2 linked regions of the Oreochromis niloticus genome follow. The protein of the gene in region 2 interacts with the protein of the main gene of each other region in a biochemical or structural test. Links are inferred from orthologs where the notes say so. Each region holds a gene or a part of one and is shown on either strand. Other genes may lie near its edges.

Region 1 (7,938 bases), on a different chromosome or scaffold from region 2:
CATCTACAGCAATATTTAGTTAAAGAGAGTTTTTTCATGGTTCAGGGGTTGCTCTGCAGAGGATGGTTGATGCTAAAGTGTACAATTTGCCAGAATTAGCCCATTAAAATGAAGAATGTTCCCTTTTTTAAAGAAGGAAAAGACATTTAGTCTTTTCATTTAAATATATATCTTTAAACTGCTTAAAAATATAACCTGACGTTATGCTAGCTTCTAGCTTTGCTTGAAAGTGTTAAAAATAAACCAGATGACACAAACTAAAAAACTTAAAAGTCAACCAAACGCATCCAGAGGTTGAGGGATATGAGCAAGGAATGAACAATCTTTACAATGGATCTCTCTGCATCCTTCAAAATAACCCCTTTTATTTTCTACTCCGCTCAAGCTCTCAGATCCACATTATTCAGCTCAAGTTGCTGAGAAATACATTATTAGAATGAGAAGAAGACTTGAGAATGAATGAGCGTTTTTAGTTTAGCACAAGTATTTTACTGTTTATTAGTGTTAATATTTTCAGTTCCACCTGGAGGTCACCTGGGTCAAATATGCCCATAATTCCCTAACCTCCTCTTCCACCAGGTTGTGTTCATTCAAAGCCTATCTAGGGTAAACTGCTGATCTTTTTTAGCCTTAATTGCCTGTTCGATCAATCCCACTCCATCTTCATTGCTGTTGGCATCTGTGGAAGTACATGAAAACAGCCTTGCTGCAAACAGCAGAACAGAATAAGCAGGTGACAGATCGTTGTTGGACCGTCTATGCTGCAGGTCAAAAGGTTTTTTTTCCCTCTAAAAATATTCTCTCACAAACTGAGTCTAACAAACCAAATTTCATTGGACCATTTAAAATAGACACCATAGTTAACCCTGCCTCTGGATCAAACTATGGATCAAATTGGATCATTCTGTGGATGGATCAAGGATCAAACTGTGCTCCTCATGCTATTCCTGAGCCATTTCTGTTTTGTGGCAGGGCACATTATTGTGATGAAAGAGGCCAAAGCCATCAGGGAGTACTGTTTCCATGAAAGGATGTTCATGGTCCATAACAGTGCTTAGGTAGGCAGTACATGTCAAAGTAAAGTCCGCATGGATGGCAGGATCTAAAGCTTCCCGGCAGAACATTTCCCAAAGCATCACACTGCCTCCGCCAGCTTGCCTTCTTCCAATAGTGCATCCTGGTACCAGGTGTTGCCCAGTTAAGCAATGCAAACTCACCCGGTCCTCCAGGTGATGTAAACGAGAACCTGATTGATGAGACCAGGCCACCCTCTTCCATTCTTCTGTGGTCCAGTTCTGGTGCTGTGTTGGACAGGGGTCAGCATGGGCACCCTGAGTGGTCTGTGGCCATGCAGCCCTATATGCACCAAACTGTTATGTGTATTCTGACACCTTTCTGTCAGAACCACCATGAACTTTTTTTTTGATAATCTGCTTTAAAGTAGCTCATCTCGAAATACACAAGCCAGCCAATGAGACTTGGGTCCCCATGACCCTGTTACTGATTCATCACTGTTTCTTTCTTGGACAACATTTGATAGATACTGACAAATGCAGACCAGGGACGCCCCAAAAGAGCTGTACTTTTAGAGATGCTGTGACTCAGTCGTCTACCCATCACAATTTGTTCCTTGTCAAACTTACTCAAATCCTTACTATTACACATTTTTCCTGCTTCTAACACATCAATTTGAGGATGAATAATTCACTTTCTACCTAATATATAGGAGTGAATTTTTAAAAAAAACTATCGATTTTCTGATCCAAATCTTAGTTTGAATAATGTGAAATCAATTAATTAAATCCTCAATGGATTTTTAAATATAAGTGTATTTTGCCAGAAATGCCAAAATATCAGGTGTAAGCTCACAAACAATTTTAAAAAAAACCCAGCTAAAACGGCAAATGAGAGCAGGTAAAAGGATTCTACAAAAAGACGCTGTGCTTCACTTCAGCAGCATCAGGTAATGGTCATTTGTTGAGTCATGGTTTTCTTCAGTTTTTGTTCCACTGCAGAATATTTTTAAGGTTATCTGCTATTAAAAGCCAGGCCAGGAAAATCTCCTTCATATTTTTCAGTTTTATTCTCAGTTACTTTGACTCAAAGGCATCTGCTGTGATGTTTACACCTCTGAAGTCTCACAAGTATGAGATATGTTTTTATACATATATATAACTATATGGATATGTACTGTTAAATGATCAGAATTATAATGTGACTCAAAGACTGCAAGGTGCCCAGGTCCTGTGGCAAGTTTGGTTTTCACCAATTGTGTTGTGCATTACGGCCAAAAATCTTTGGTCTTTTCTGTCTAATTCAAATTGTTCTAAAAGTCTTGTGGTTTATTTACATCAAACTTTCCTAACTTAAGCTGTGTTGCCATGTAGAAGAAGCTTTCACTGACCACCATTCCAAGCACGCTATACTTTTAATCTTTTTTTTTTTTTTAATTGAACTGTCATGAACTTCAACACTTAATATGCCAACTGAGCAGCTACTTACTCTCCTGATTTCTATTGAAACAATAAGGGAGTCTAAAGCACTCTGAGCTGTTTGAGAGACCAGACTAGAGCTATGAAAGTCATGTGAAAAAGAAAGTTTCCACTGGACTCTGTGCAGTCCTGTACACCAAATCACCAGTTAACCTAACATGCATTTCAAAGGAAACTGGAAACCTATGGAGGCACAAGTAACATACAAACTCCACAAAGAAAAGTGTTAACCAGGAACCCTCGTGCCCCACATGCATTTTGTATCATTTGGAGCCATTTTTCTCTGCATGTTTTATCTGCATGTTTACATAACTATAAATAATCAGTCATTGGATTTAGCAAAGAACTAATATATTTGCATTTTCTTCTATTGTTCTGTATCATACTTTTACTCTTTCATGCCTCGACTTATACTGTGTTTGTGAGAGGCTGCAAAACCTTAAAGATGACAAAACATGATTATTTGACTGTAAACATTTTATATCATTTTTGCACAACAGGACATTTTAAATCACTTAAATGTATTAATTTCTCTTTATCTCTTAATGATTCTTCAGTCAATAACTGACTGTTATTGTAAGAATAACATTCAGACAGTCAAACCTCATCTATAACTAAAGTGTTAAACACAGCATCTGTTTACTACAGTTGTATCTCTTAGCAGATCTTAAAGGATTTCAGTTTGAAGTCCCCCGTGACTCTGATGTAGCTGATGGTACCCATACCAACACGATTTGGAAACTGGACTTCCTGTCCATCAGGAAGTTCCACCTCAAACATGTCTTCAGCCAGCTTCAACACAATCTGAAACAGAAGAAAAATTAATTCATAAGTAAACATTTTTTCCAAGACACAATCAATTGCAACCCAACTTGCATCGCCCAGCTTAATATCTGCAAGAGTATTAGTGTGTTTTTTGTGTTTTATGTGGGTAAATCAAATATCCATTTGATCCAATCAAAAACCTTTGTGATATTTTTAATACTCAGACACTCAGTACATCATCATTTACTTCGATCACATTCCCTCACCTTGACATCAGCACCCCTCTGTAGGGGGTTGTGAATTTCCCGTTTTTCATCGCCCCAGCAACCAGCAATCTTTGAGTTGCACACCAGCACAGCACCATCAGTGTCATCATGGAACCGAGGATTGAAGTGCAGTGCCAGGTCATCTGCATCACAGCCGAGATCAATCTGGAATCTGTTGATCAGACGTTGTACAAACTTGATTTTAATATCAATGGCTTGCAGAGCTTTGAACACATAGATCACACAGTGGAGTACAAAATATAATATAATTTGTAAAAGTCCACTTTGTGCTAGATTAGATTTTCCTACTGCAGGATTAACAGCATATGTAGCTTTCATTCAATTTATATGGTTACTGTATGGAAAAAATAAATGAGTTTTGTTAGCTTACCTCTCTGCATCATGCAGAATTACCCCTTTTATTTTCAGCTCATCTCCAGCTCTCAAATCCACATTCTTCAGTTCGAGTTCCTGAACACATGGTTAGAATATAACCTGAAGAAGTCTTGAGAATGAAATAACTTTGCATTTTCAGTTTTGCAAATAATTTATTAAAGGGTAAAATGTAGTTAATTTGCTGACATGTAGTGGCATACACAAACCTAAGCTTACCATACTCATACTGGTTGCTGGTGAACAGTCCTGGATGATGGAGTTTCAACAGAGGTACAGTCTACTGTGCTGGGAGAAAAAAAGGTAAATGGGGTAACTGTGAATTCTAGTTTATTTATGATGCAAGACATGAGTTTAAGTAAGATTCTCTTTTAACACTGACTCATTCAACATCATCATCATCTTTGCCAAATACTATATTCAGTACAAGCACTACTCTGTTTAATCACCTGTAACAGCAAATTAGTAAATGAACAAATTAATGTGCTTTTTCTATTTTTCATTGGAATTCATTTTGCACATTAATAAGGGCCTTCAATATACTGCAGATGACTCTAGAACAAAATAATCTATACTAGTGTACCATACCCATGCAATAAGTCTATTTTGCAACAATTGTATTTGTATGCTTCACAAATAAAATTTCTACAAACAAGATCATTAGTCAAATCTACATCCCTTTTCCCATCAAAAACAGTCTGTAATAATATTATATTTGACAAATTTCATGCAGGTGCAGGTTGACACTCTAACCACAGGATGGCAGTAAAACGCGTAGTCTAAGTTAGAAACAAGTGAATCCTGGAAGGACTTTGATTAAATCTGGAAAATACAATGACAGTGTTTTCATATGAGCTGATGAGAAGTTTAAAAGAAATAATCTGTATCATTTACACTGAGGAATATGGAATTATAGACTCTAAGACAAAACTAGAAAATGATCATCCAGTCCTTCCTTTGGTAATACGTCTTAACAACAACTTCCGTCATCCTGCCGGAAGTGACAAAATAAAGTAAATAGAAGCTGTCTTTAGATCGAGAAGTTGAGATAATTGCGAATAAAAAGGGCGATTCAACAAAAGATATTTTGATTTTATGCACACTAAAGAATATCTTTATGACGACTCTGTGCGACGTCTAAGAAAGGTAAATTGTTAATGGCCTGCTGACGTTTCAGGGGACAACATTAGCTAAATACACCTGCTATTAGCCTACAGGCTAGCAGCTAATAATCCAACTTACTGACCTCGGTCACTGTAATGAAATCTAACAGTGACTGGTTTGTGTGTGCATGCAGATATATTAAGTGCAACAGTTACATTAATTAAAACGTATTTAAATGGTTGTTGTTAGGATGTTAGCATGCACTGCGGGTTACCAGCTGTTTGCTCTGCTCCAGCGTTTCCTCACTGACTCCACAGCGATTAAATTTGCCGCATCAGGAAAGCAAAGCTGCCAATTTTGGTGATTGTCGATAGTCCATCTGATTATAGACTACTTTCAAATTCGCCGGTAGCTCAAACTCTTAAACGTGTTCTGATTGTCACTCTTTTAATGAGCGTTTCTTGGGTTTTCTGATCACTAGATCCAGTTAAAACTTCCTTTGATTTCTGTTTTATTGTACTCTGTCGCAGGTTTCTGAGGGACAGGAGTGACGCTGTCCTGCAATGTTCACAGATATGGACTATGAATTGGAGGAGGACAAACTGTGAGTCATTAATGAGCTTTCTCTACCCATCCAGGCGAATCACATATGCTTCTCATACATTATAAACATAAAACATTATTAAACATCTAAAACAGTAACTGATAGGGTGAATGTCTTGATATAAACTGTGATACAGTTCCCTCATTACAGAATGTCCCAGAATAAGCTGAACAAAATGCTTCAAAACTCAATTTAGTGTTTTTTTTTCTCTCTTAACAGGGGGATACCAACAGTGCCTGGGACTGTGACTCTGAAGAAAGATGCTAATAATCTTATAGGCATCAGCATTGGTGGTGGGGCTCAGTACTGCCCTTGCCTCTACATTGTTCAGGTGCACACAGAATAATTTATTATGACTTTATTTATTAAAATGTCATCTATAACCAGATATTTCTATCATGCTTTAAATGTTATAAGACTGTATCTGTCTCAGTTTGCTGTTGTTTGGCATATGGGTCATTAAATGCAGCTTTATCGCCTCTTTTTCAGGAAAAATAACTGTACTTTGTCACGGTTTTTTAAATGTGGTTGCTGTTGCTTTGCAGGTCTTTGATAACACACCAGCAGCTTTGGATGGGACGCTGGCAGCAGGTGATGAAATCACAGGTGTGAACGGGAAAGCAGTCAAGGGCAAAACTAAGGTGGAGGTGGCCAAGATGATTCAAGCTGTGCAGGTACACAGACTCTGAAAGTGGGAGGTTATTAAAAACTCAGCATTACACTATTGACCATAACTGCTATTTAACATTGAATATTACCAGTGTGATAATAATGCACACAGTTTAGAATAATAATACAGTCATTTGTGCATCTGTAGCTACAAAAACGCTCACCACTTCCATGCACACTGAAGAAAAAGATGCATTCGACTGATAGCTTTATTAGCCTTTTCAGATTTTTGGTAGTTGTTGTGATGTGATGATTATTTCCATGGATTATTTTGAATAAAATAATAGTATCATTGCAGTGAAAGTCTTATGACAGCCCTGTTGAAATAATGATGTTAACATGAGCTCTATTATTAAACTCCTGTTTTTAATCTTTTAAACCTAAAGACAGCGACTCATCATACTCACCCTCACCTCTGATGACCAATGCCCCATAATGAATAAAAAAAAGAACCAAACCATAGCTTTACTTGCATGTTGAAACACTGTGTGTCATTTAAAAGAAATTTTGAAAAGAATTCAAAGATGACTCACTTTTTTATGTCCAGCACAGTCCAACAGTTAGTGAGATATGAGTGTAAGCCCACCTTCCCACTGCAGACAGGACACTGTAGGAGTGACTTCACTGGTTTGCTAAGCTGTGCTGAAGAGGTCGGGACAATAGCCCGTAGCATGTGGCGTACCATCACCGGTGAATAGTGGCGCTGTTGTTTTTGGCATCCTTTGTTCACAACCCAAAAAATTCCATGACTTCCTGCGTGGTGGGATAAAGATGGGGTTCAGTGTGGGATTAAAAGGATTAGGTGGTGTTGCTGCTGCCCGTCACTGAAAATACATTTCACACTTAACACCATAAATGTTGCACATTATTAATTTTAACTTATGTACTAAGGTGAAATGTTACTTTCTTTGAAGCATGCATAGCAGTGCTTTGTACTGCATTCTTGCATAATCTCAACAAAAGCTAACACATAGTTCTATTTCTTATATTTAGTACTGCTACAATAGATGCTCTTCCTTTCACCATCCCATGTTTATATTTATTTATTTGGGTTATTTAACTGTTGATCCTATTTTCACAGGGAGAGGCAGTAATCCACTACAATAAGCTGCAGGCTGATCCAAAACAGGGGAAGTCTCTGGACATAGGTATTTATGTTTATGTTACTTCCTTTGAAGCGTGCACTGCAGTGCTGTGTACTGCATTCTTTCAGATTCTCAACAAATCTTTTTCACTGCTGCGTTAGTTTGTGTTAAACATTGATATTTTATATGTTTCAGTGCTGAAAAAAGTCAAACATCGACTTGTAGAGAATTTGAGCTCAGGAACAGCGGATGCTCTTGGACTCAGTAGAGCTATTCTATGCAATGGTAAGACTGCTAGGATGGTAACTGCAGGTTTGTTCATATCTACTTAGATTTAACTCGTTGTACTTTGCAGATGGACTTGTCAAAAGACTGGAAGAGCTGGAGAAAACGGCAGAGCTGTACAAAGGTAACGAATGATAAGATTCTTTACCTAAACAAGTTAATCATGTAGTGTGAAAACTCCATAATCACAGATATGAGAGAGCTTTTAATCCACAGAGATCCTGTTGTTCTCTGTTTGCGTTGCAGGGCTGATGGAGCACACGAAAAGACTACTG
Region 2 (6,928 bases):
GAAACCAGTCAGTGGTACAAACCAACGTTTGGATTTTGTCCAGCAAGAACTGCAACAGCTTCTCAGCAGGTTTAAATAAATCGCTTCTACGGAATCGAAACCTCTCTGTCAACTCCTCATCAAGTGCACTGTATGTCCATCGCCAATAAGTATACATCATCTAAAATCCTGCAAGCTGTACAGTCGATACCTGGAGCTTGCTGTTGCCTTTAGTGTTACAAGCTGTGTAGTCTGAGTAGCAACTATAGAAAAAAACTAGATTTTGACTTTAAGCCTGGCTATATCATCTTTCCACTGACTTTATTTTAACCCCTGTTTGTGTCTTTACCCTATAGGCTTTTTGTTTGTTGGGGGGTTTGGTTTTTTTGGACTAACCCAGCCTAAATTTTCTCCTCTGCTTTTAATCTTTATCCTTTGGTAAGATGAGATAAACAAATGGCGGCTGTAGCTTTTTATATTCTTTCACAGGCCTGTCGTATCATCCCCATAAAACAGAAACACAGATGAAGAGGGGCTGTAATGACTCACTGACCGAGACTGAGGATAAAATCTCCTCTTTCACAAGGCAACGTAAAAACACTTGAGATGAAAAAAAAAGAAAAATGTCACAGAGCTGCTCTAAACATTGGCTAATTAACGGACGTACGGCAATAGGCATTTGTTATCACAATCACATTTGTGGCTAAAGTCCTCCTGGCTAACTAACACAGCTGCACCCACTTACCATGTGAGTCCAGTGGAGCATGAAGTTAGCCATCAAAACAAAGGCCCAGTTACCCACTAATAGGGTCTCTGGAAAATTCTTGGCCTCTGTGGGTGGAAGGTCAGCACCTTTGGATTCATTGTTGTCACATATAACACCTTTAGTCATTATCACAACCATGCTGGCTCACAATAAGCAGTAGACACTTGCCTTATATAAGAAAAACAGCTATAGTTTACATTAATATTATACTGGGTTTCCATTTTCTCACTTTGTATTTTTGCCAATGTGCACTTATAATGTAAGCAAACTCAAACACGAGAAAACCAGCTGTCACCAAGCTGCCCACTACAGTTATGTATTCCAGTGGTCACTTGTGCATTATCTGTCTATCTTTCACATTTCAGAGTGTGAATGGGTACTGAGCTCACAGCAGCAGCTTTACAGAGACATAATTAGAAGGGAGAGGGTATGACAGATGGATTACAATCGTAATTGAGAGTGTGGAGAGTCTATCGTCCTAGCTGCACTGCACCTGCTTTGTCTTTGGCATAAACAGCAGACGAGGTAAGAATTTGTCTTCTCATGCAGCACGCCTGTAGAATTACAACATGTCTTTTTTTTGTCTCCTTACAGGCACTATTTCTGGTTACAGTGGTACAGAAAAGCTTGGATAGCCCTGATTTTTATTATTCCAAAGCAGATGGTACAAAATGAGACAAGGGAGCCCAGCAGCTCAGTGACCTTCATGTTGCTAATCTAACAATGCCCCTACATTGATCTAACATTAACACCTCACCCCTCGCAGAATATGCATGACTCCAAACAGGCTGGTGGCCTGTGTGTTTTCGAACAAATCACCTCGACGTGCAATTACCTCCTGCTCTGGAGTTATTTCTTTCCTGTGGATACCGTCGCCCTTTCATTCGAGTCTGGGAATTAAACAGGTTTCCAGGTTAATTAATTTGACAGACAGAGCCCATTGTGCCTAGTGTCTGCCCAAAAAGAAACCTTATTGCCTCTTGTCCTGGATGTTGACTTTTTATTGTTCTTGGATTCGTCGTTCTTTAGTGGAGCACACAGTGCCAGCCCCTGTAATTGACTTGAAAAAGACCGTATCGAGCAGACAAGTTATTGAATGCTTGAAACAAAAGCTCTGGCTTTTTCAAAGGAGACCATAATTTATCTGACAGGATGCCTGTTAAATATTGTGCACCCCTGCCATGTGAAAACTATGACTCTATTTGGTTTTTTGGTCAGCTGTGTATTAAACATAAACCTCTCATTCCTCTTTCTTGTTGCTTCCTACTTCATCCCATGATGAAAGTGAAATGGAATTTGTTTGAGTGCGCAGACACGTGACTCTGTGTCTGTATAAAAGCGAGGAAGGGGAGAGAAAGAAAGGATCCAAACCAAAGTGTAATCTCAGTCTAAATCACACAGCCTCCCCGGGGAAAAGGCCCCTCTTCCTGGGGTTAGTCAGTGAATTAAATCACGGTGAGGGCCCCATTTTTCAAAAGTAACCTTTCCATTGACAGTGTAAGTGGGAGTCTCACCGCCGAGTCCGAGCCGGGGAATTAGTGTCGTGCGTTGCGACACCAGTCTCTCCGGGTGTCATTTGTAAAGGCTGTTGCTGCATTTTTCCAGTCCTGCCTTCCTGTCTGTCTCAGTGTGCTCACTGTGGAGGTGGCCATCTGCCTCCCTCCCCTCTCACATCCCTGGTTTCTCTCCTCAGCAGTCTGTTCCCTGCAGTTCCCACACAGTTTCCTTAAATGTATTTTTAGTGCATCTCATGAATTTTGGCCCCAGTGTACAGTATGTGCACCCAAAACCACATTGGACATGCACGATTTGCCTGTTGAAAGATATTCATGTACTCAGCGTGGCTAATGAAGATAAATACACTACATGGCCGGATTAGGCTCGAATTAATCTCAACTTAATTAATTAGAAATTTGTCCATCCAAGCCTGTAATGTCAATAGGACATGTTTCAATTAGAACTACATCGCCTTTTCTAATCTTTTAATTGAACAGAAACTAATGGAATGAACACGTTCATAAAATGGGATTCCATGCCTCATAATCATTTTCACGATAAAGCAACTCTCTGAGGCTGCTTATTATTCAAAGATAAACCAACTTAAGGGACTTATCCTGTAATCCACTTCCTGTTTCCTGTTTCCCAGAGTGCTGCTGTACTTTGCTTTTCCACCAACAATGTGGATGCTGTTGCTGCATGTGTGTTGGCTGGCTCACGAGTGGTCAGTTTCTAAGGTTACTTGAAAATGAAGGCTTATGCATGAATTATGTATTAACAGAGTGCTCAGCGGGCACCTCTTCTCTCGCTCCCCTTCTCTCCACGTAACCCACTGAACATGTACTCATTAGCAGAGACTACAATGATTATTGTTGTTATTTTGAATGTGCGATTTACTTTGAATGCCAAGCAGAAACTACCTTTTTAATTAATGCCTCAAATTGCCAAGTGAGTCCCTGGCTAATGCATGCCCACAAAAGCAAATTATCATAATCTGCTTGTTTGTAAAAGTACCATCTGTGCAATTAAATAGTTTGGTGATGATAGAGTTTTGTTAGGAAGATGTGAGGCCTCCGTGCTCCTAAAGGTGTGGGCAATTCTCACCAGTCTGTGGACCAGTATGTTTAGCCAGGATGATGATGATGATGTGCGTGTGTGGTAGAGGGTGTTGGGTGGGGGGTGATATGCGTGTATTTGTGGGGGCAGGAGGGTTGCACAGGATGAATCAGGAGTCTTCTGAAGAAGGGTTGCCTTGGAGACCAGCCTGGACCCCTCCAAACGTGTCTGCTATGCTCTCTCTCCCTCCCGTACCTCCCTCTCTGCTCCGTTTTAAAGGTGCATCAGTAATGAATCCAAAACTATTTCAGGAAAGCCACTTTTTAGTCGGCGGGTGAAGCCCTTCATACCTGCAGCTCTTCTGTGTTTTCATAATGCCACAGATCTCTGTTTCATGCCTGCCACCGTCAACATCAAAAGAAAAGAGGGGGGAAAACACTTTTGTGTGTATGTGTGTGTGTGTATGTGTGTGTGTGTGTGTGTATGTGTGTGTGTGTGTGTGTTTGAGGGGGATAACGGAGGGAGGGGAAGTAGGGAGACAGAGATTATAATGCTGAGATGCAGCCACTGAGAGGCACTCAGAGGAACAATTGTCTTATTATTCAAGTCTGTAAGTGCATTTGTTTGCCTTGTTTACCTTCTCTTCTGTCTGAAGACAGTGAGCGCTAACTTCCTGGAAACCTTTCCACAAAGTGATGCTAATCTTTTTTTCCCTTTTCCTTTTTCTTTTTTGCTGCCAGCTGAATGACGTCTCGCGTCGAAAGGGGGCTGAAAACTCGGCGCACACAGTGAATCCCTCGCTGTGACTCATTCATTTTGTATAAAGGCGACCGGTTGCGGAGACTGAGAAAGAGCCGGGGATTTAATTAGCTGGTTTTTCTTAGTCCACTGCTTAATGAACGCACGTTTGCGTTCACACTAACCGCGTTTTTCCTTTTTCTTTTAACCCACCCCCCCTCATTCCCTCCCTCCCTCCGTCATTCCCTCCCCTCCTTTGGAGACTGTGGAGATGATATGCACCCCTGGGAGACAAACACCACAGCCGAGCGAGCCATTCCTGCGCTCCCGTGGAGTTGTTCTGGGGAAGAAGAATGTCACCCACTTCTGCCGGTCCTAAGAAGTATTGATTTAAAGCGATAATTTCTACTACACGATACTTAAATTCTGGGCTTTGGGTTGTGAAGATATGCCAGTTCCTCGCAGCGGTTTCATTGTGTTTCTATTCGCTCTTTGGATTTAGCATAAATGGACAAAATTAGGCCAGATAATTTGCTGCGGGTTTTCGTCTCCTTTCAGTGATATTCTCTCTAACTAATGGATGTAGCCTCCCTTCCTGAGAGCGCTAAATTTCCGTTAGGGGCTTCACTATTCAACAAGCTTAACCGCTCACTCCTGGCTGTAAAACGATGGGCGCAGTTCGCCTGAGCCTTCTGCTGCCCCTTGGTTCCTCAGCCCAGCTTGTTGAATCTCCTCCCTGGTGACAAGAATGGGTTCGTTTTAGCAAACTTCTTAGCCTCTTCTGGTCTCATCATCGGCGGATCGCAGGCTTCTCCTTCCTAAAAGTTGATCATGGCTTGTCCCGGTGTACGCGTGAAGCTGAGCTTTATATGGAGGGTGTTTTGGCTTATGAGGACTGTGATAGATTTCGCGCTGCCTCAGGAGACTTATGCACCCCATTCGATACGGACTGAGGGACACCTGACCCTCGGCGGACTCTTCCCGGTGCATGCCAGAGGAATCGATGGTGCGCCGTGCGGGGACCTCAAAAAAGAGAACGGCATCCAGCGGCTTGAGGCCATGATGTACGCTTTGGACCAAATTAACCAGGACGAGCAACTCTTACCCAACATCACCTTAGGCGCACGGGTGCTGGACACTTGTTCGAGGGATACTTATGCGCTGGAGCAATCGTTAACTTTCGTGCAAGCGCTGATCACGAAGGACACCTCCGACGTGCGGTGCACTAACGGGGACCCACCGGTGTTTGTCAAGCCTGAAAAAGTGGTGGGAGTCATCGGAGCCTCGGCGAGTTCAGTATCGATTATGGTTGCCAACATCCTACGCCTCTTCCAGGCAAGTCTGAGCGTGTGCACTAGTTTTGTGGCTTTAAGATAATCGTATTTTTTCCACTATTGCAGCAGTAGTTTGTTGAATTTGGGGGTAAAAATGCGCTTTGGAGAGGGGTAAACGCAGTTTTTTGTTGCCCAAAAGCCGCTTGAAAGGACAGCAAAAGTGAAACAGCTGAAAACTGTGTCTGAGAAAAAACAATAAATAAATAAATAAATAAATAAGAGAGAATCCATCACGAGCAAGAATCTATTTTCAGATGGTGGTATTGGATTCGATGTGTTCTCACTGATGCCTCTCTCCATCTTAAAACGGGGCATAAAAGGAAGGTGAAGTGAGTTTGGGTGGTTTTTCAATCCACTAGACTGTGTGGATGAGACAGCTGAGAGTGCTGTTGCTTGTCCCCGGTGGTGCTGAAAGAACAGCTCCCGTCTGTTCCAGTCTCACTCCGGAGTCTGGATGAGTGGGCACTGACAGCCTGACACAATCACACCCAAACTCAACAACCCCCTCCTGAGAATAAAAGGCCTGTTTCATATGATTGCACATGATTATATGAACCTCTTGTACGTCAGACTGCAGGCGGTTTTATGAATTGTTTTGAACCTGAAAGCATTGAGTTATGCTTGAGTTTCCTTTTGCTTTTACCTACGGGGGAAGAAGCGGGGGGGGGGGGGGGCTTCCCTTCTGCAAAATGAGCTTGTTTCCATCTCTTCACAGCCTGATTGAGCTCGATGGCTGCAAGTAAATGAAAGGAATTCATAAGACTAATTTCCAAATGGCATACTTGAGCGTATAGGAAAACGTCTCTATTTCTGTTGGCTGAGAGTCAACTGATGGTGTTGGCCCACTGCTGGTGCTGCAGTGAAATGGGAAATGCAGCAAGGCACCAGTACAGAAAGATTAATTATTTAAAACACATCTCCATAGCAAAGTATTTAATTACTCAAAAAAACATGTGCATGCTTTTGCATAATTCTGTACAGTTTTTCCTGTGCGAGGAAAGTGGCATTTAAACTGGGGAGGAGCTGCATGCAGTGTTGGTGCTAATGATTTGTGGTTGCAGATTGTAAGTCAGAGTCTTGTCAGTCAGTGTTTTTGTTCCAGCTCAGTTCGACAAATTGTGTAAGTAGCTGGTTAATTGCATCTGTAAGACAGTCGGAGTACTTAACAAGCTTTTACCCCAACCACCGCCCAGTTGTCTTCCCTTTCTACTCTACAGACACGTACACATGCCACACATTTGTGTCTATATACATATATCTATATACATATTTATTTCTATTTGTTCATTTTTTATATCCGGGTTTTGTGGTTCCTTTTGCCGGACTGATCGTCCCCACCACAACACCACAATCTTCAGCCTAGCTTTAGTTCCTGTTCTCTCTTTGTAGGCTCACTTAATAAATTAAATTTTTATTATTACAAGATCTTCAAAACCCTGCAGTTATGCTTTGAAGCATAACTGCACTTGTTATTTTGTTGCACGGCACGAGGGTTGCAAGAGTTCCTCAGTTTTGTGCAAGCTCTGTAACATAAAAAACTTATGCATTTGTGAAACTG

Evidence for each region. The genes of interacting proteins can lie anywhere in the genome.
Region 1: the proteins of metabotropic glutamate receptor 7 (region 2) and pick1 form a complex in vitro, tested with the Homo sapiens proteins (2 studies listed by BioGRID, with this or other methods). The link is inferred for Oreochromis niloticus from reciprocal best matches to the Homo sapiens genes GRM7 and PICK1.

Annotation. Positions count from the first base shown.
Region 1 is NC_031969.2:9,657,650-9,665,587, reverse strand, and holds the start of pick1 (PRKCA-binding protein), read left to right. Parts: upstream 1-4,895; 5' UTR 4,896-5,062; intron 5,063-5,294; exon of another isoform or gene 5,295-5,543; intron 5,544-5,550; 5' UTR 5,551-5,583; coding exon 5,584-5,624; intron 5,625-5,843; coding exon 5,844-5,955; intron 5,956-6,169; coding exon 6,170-6,298; intron 6,299-6,826; exon of another isoform or gene 6,827-7,249; intron 7,250-7,374; coding exon 7,375-7,441; intron 7,442-7,573; coding exon 7,574-7,663; intron 7,664-7,733; coding exon 7,734-7,787; intron 7,788-7,909; coding exon 7,910-7,938. Other genes in the region: galectin-2, read right to left, coding at 3,150-3,296, 3,524-3,695, 3,915-3,994, 4,136-4,144. UniProt on the Homo sapiens protein: Probable adapter protein that bind to and organize the subcellular localization of a variety of membrane proteins containing some PDZ recognition sequence.
Region 2 is NC_031984.2:15,464,671-15,471,598, reverse strand, and holds the start of metabotropic glutamate receptor 7, read left to right. Parts: upstream 1-3,870; 5' UTR 3,871-4,867; coding exon 4,868-5,371; intron 5,372-6,928. UniProt on the Homo sapiens protein: G-protein coupled receptor activated by glutamate that regulates axon outgrowth through the MAPK-cAMP-PKA signaling pathway during neuronal development.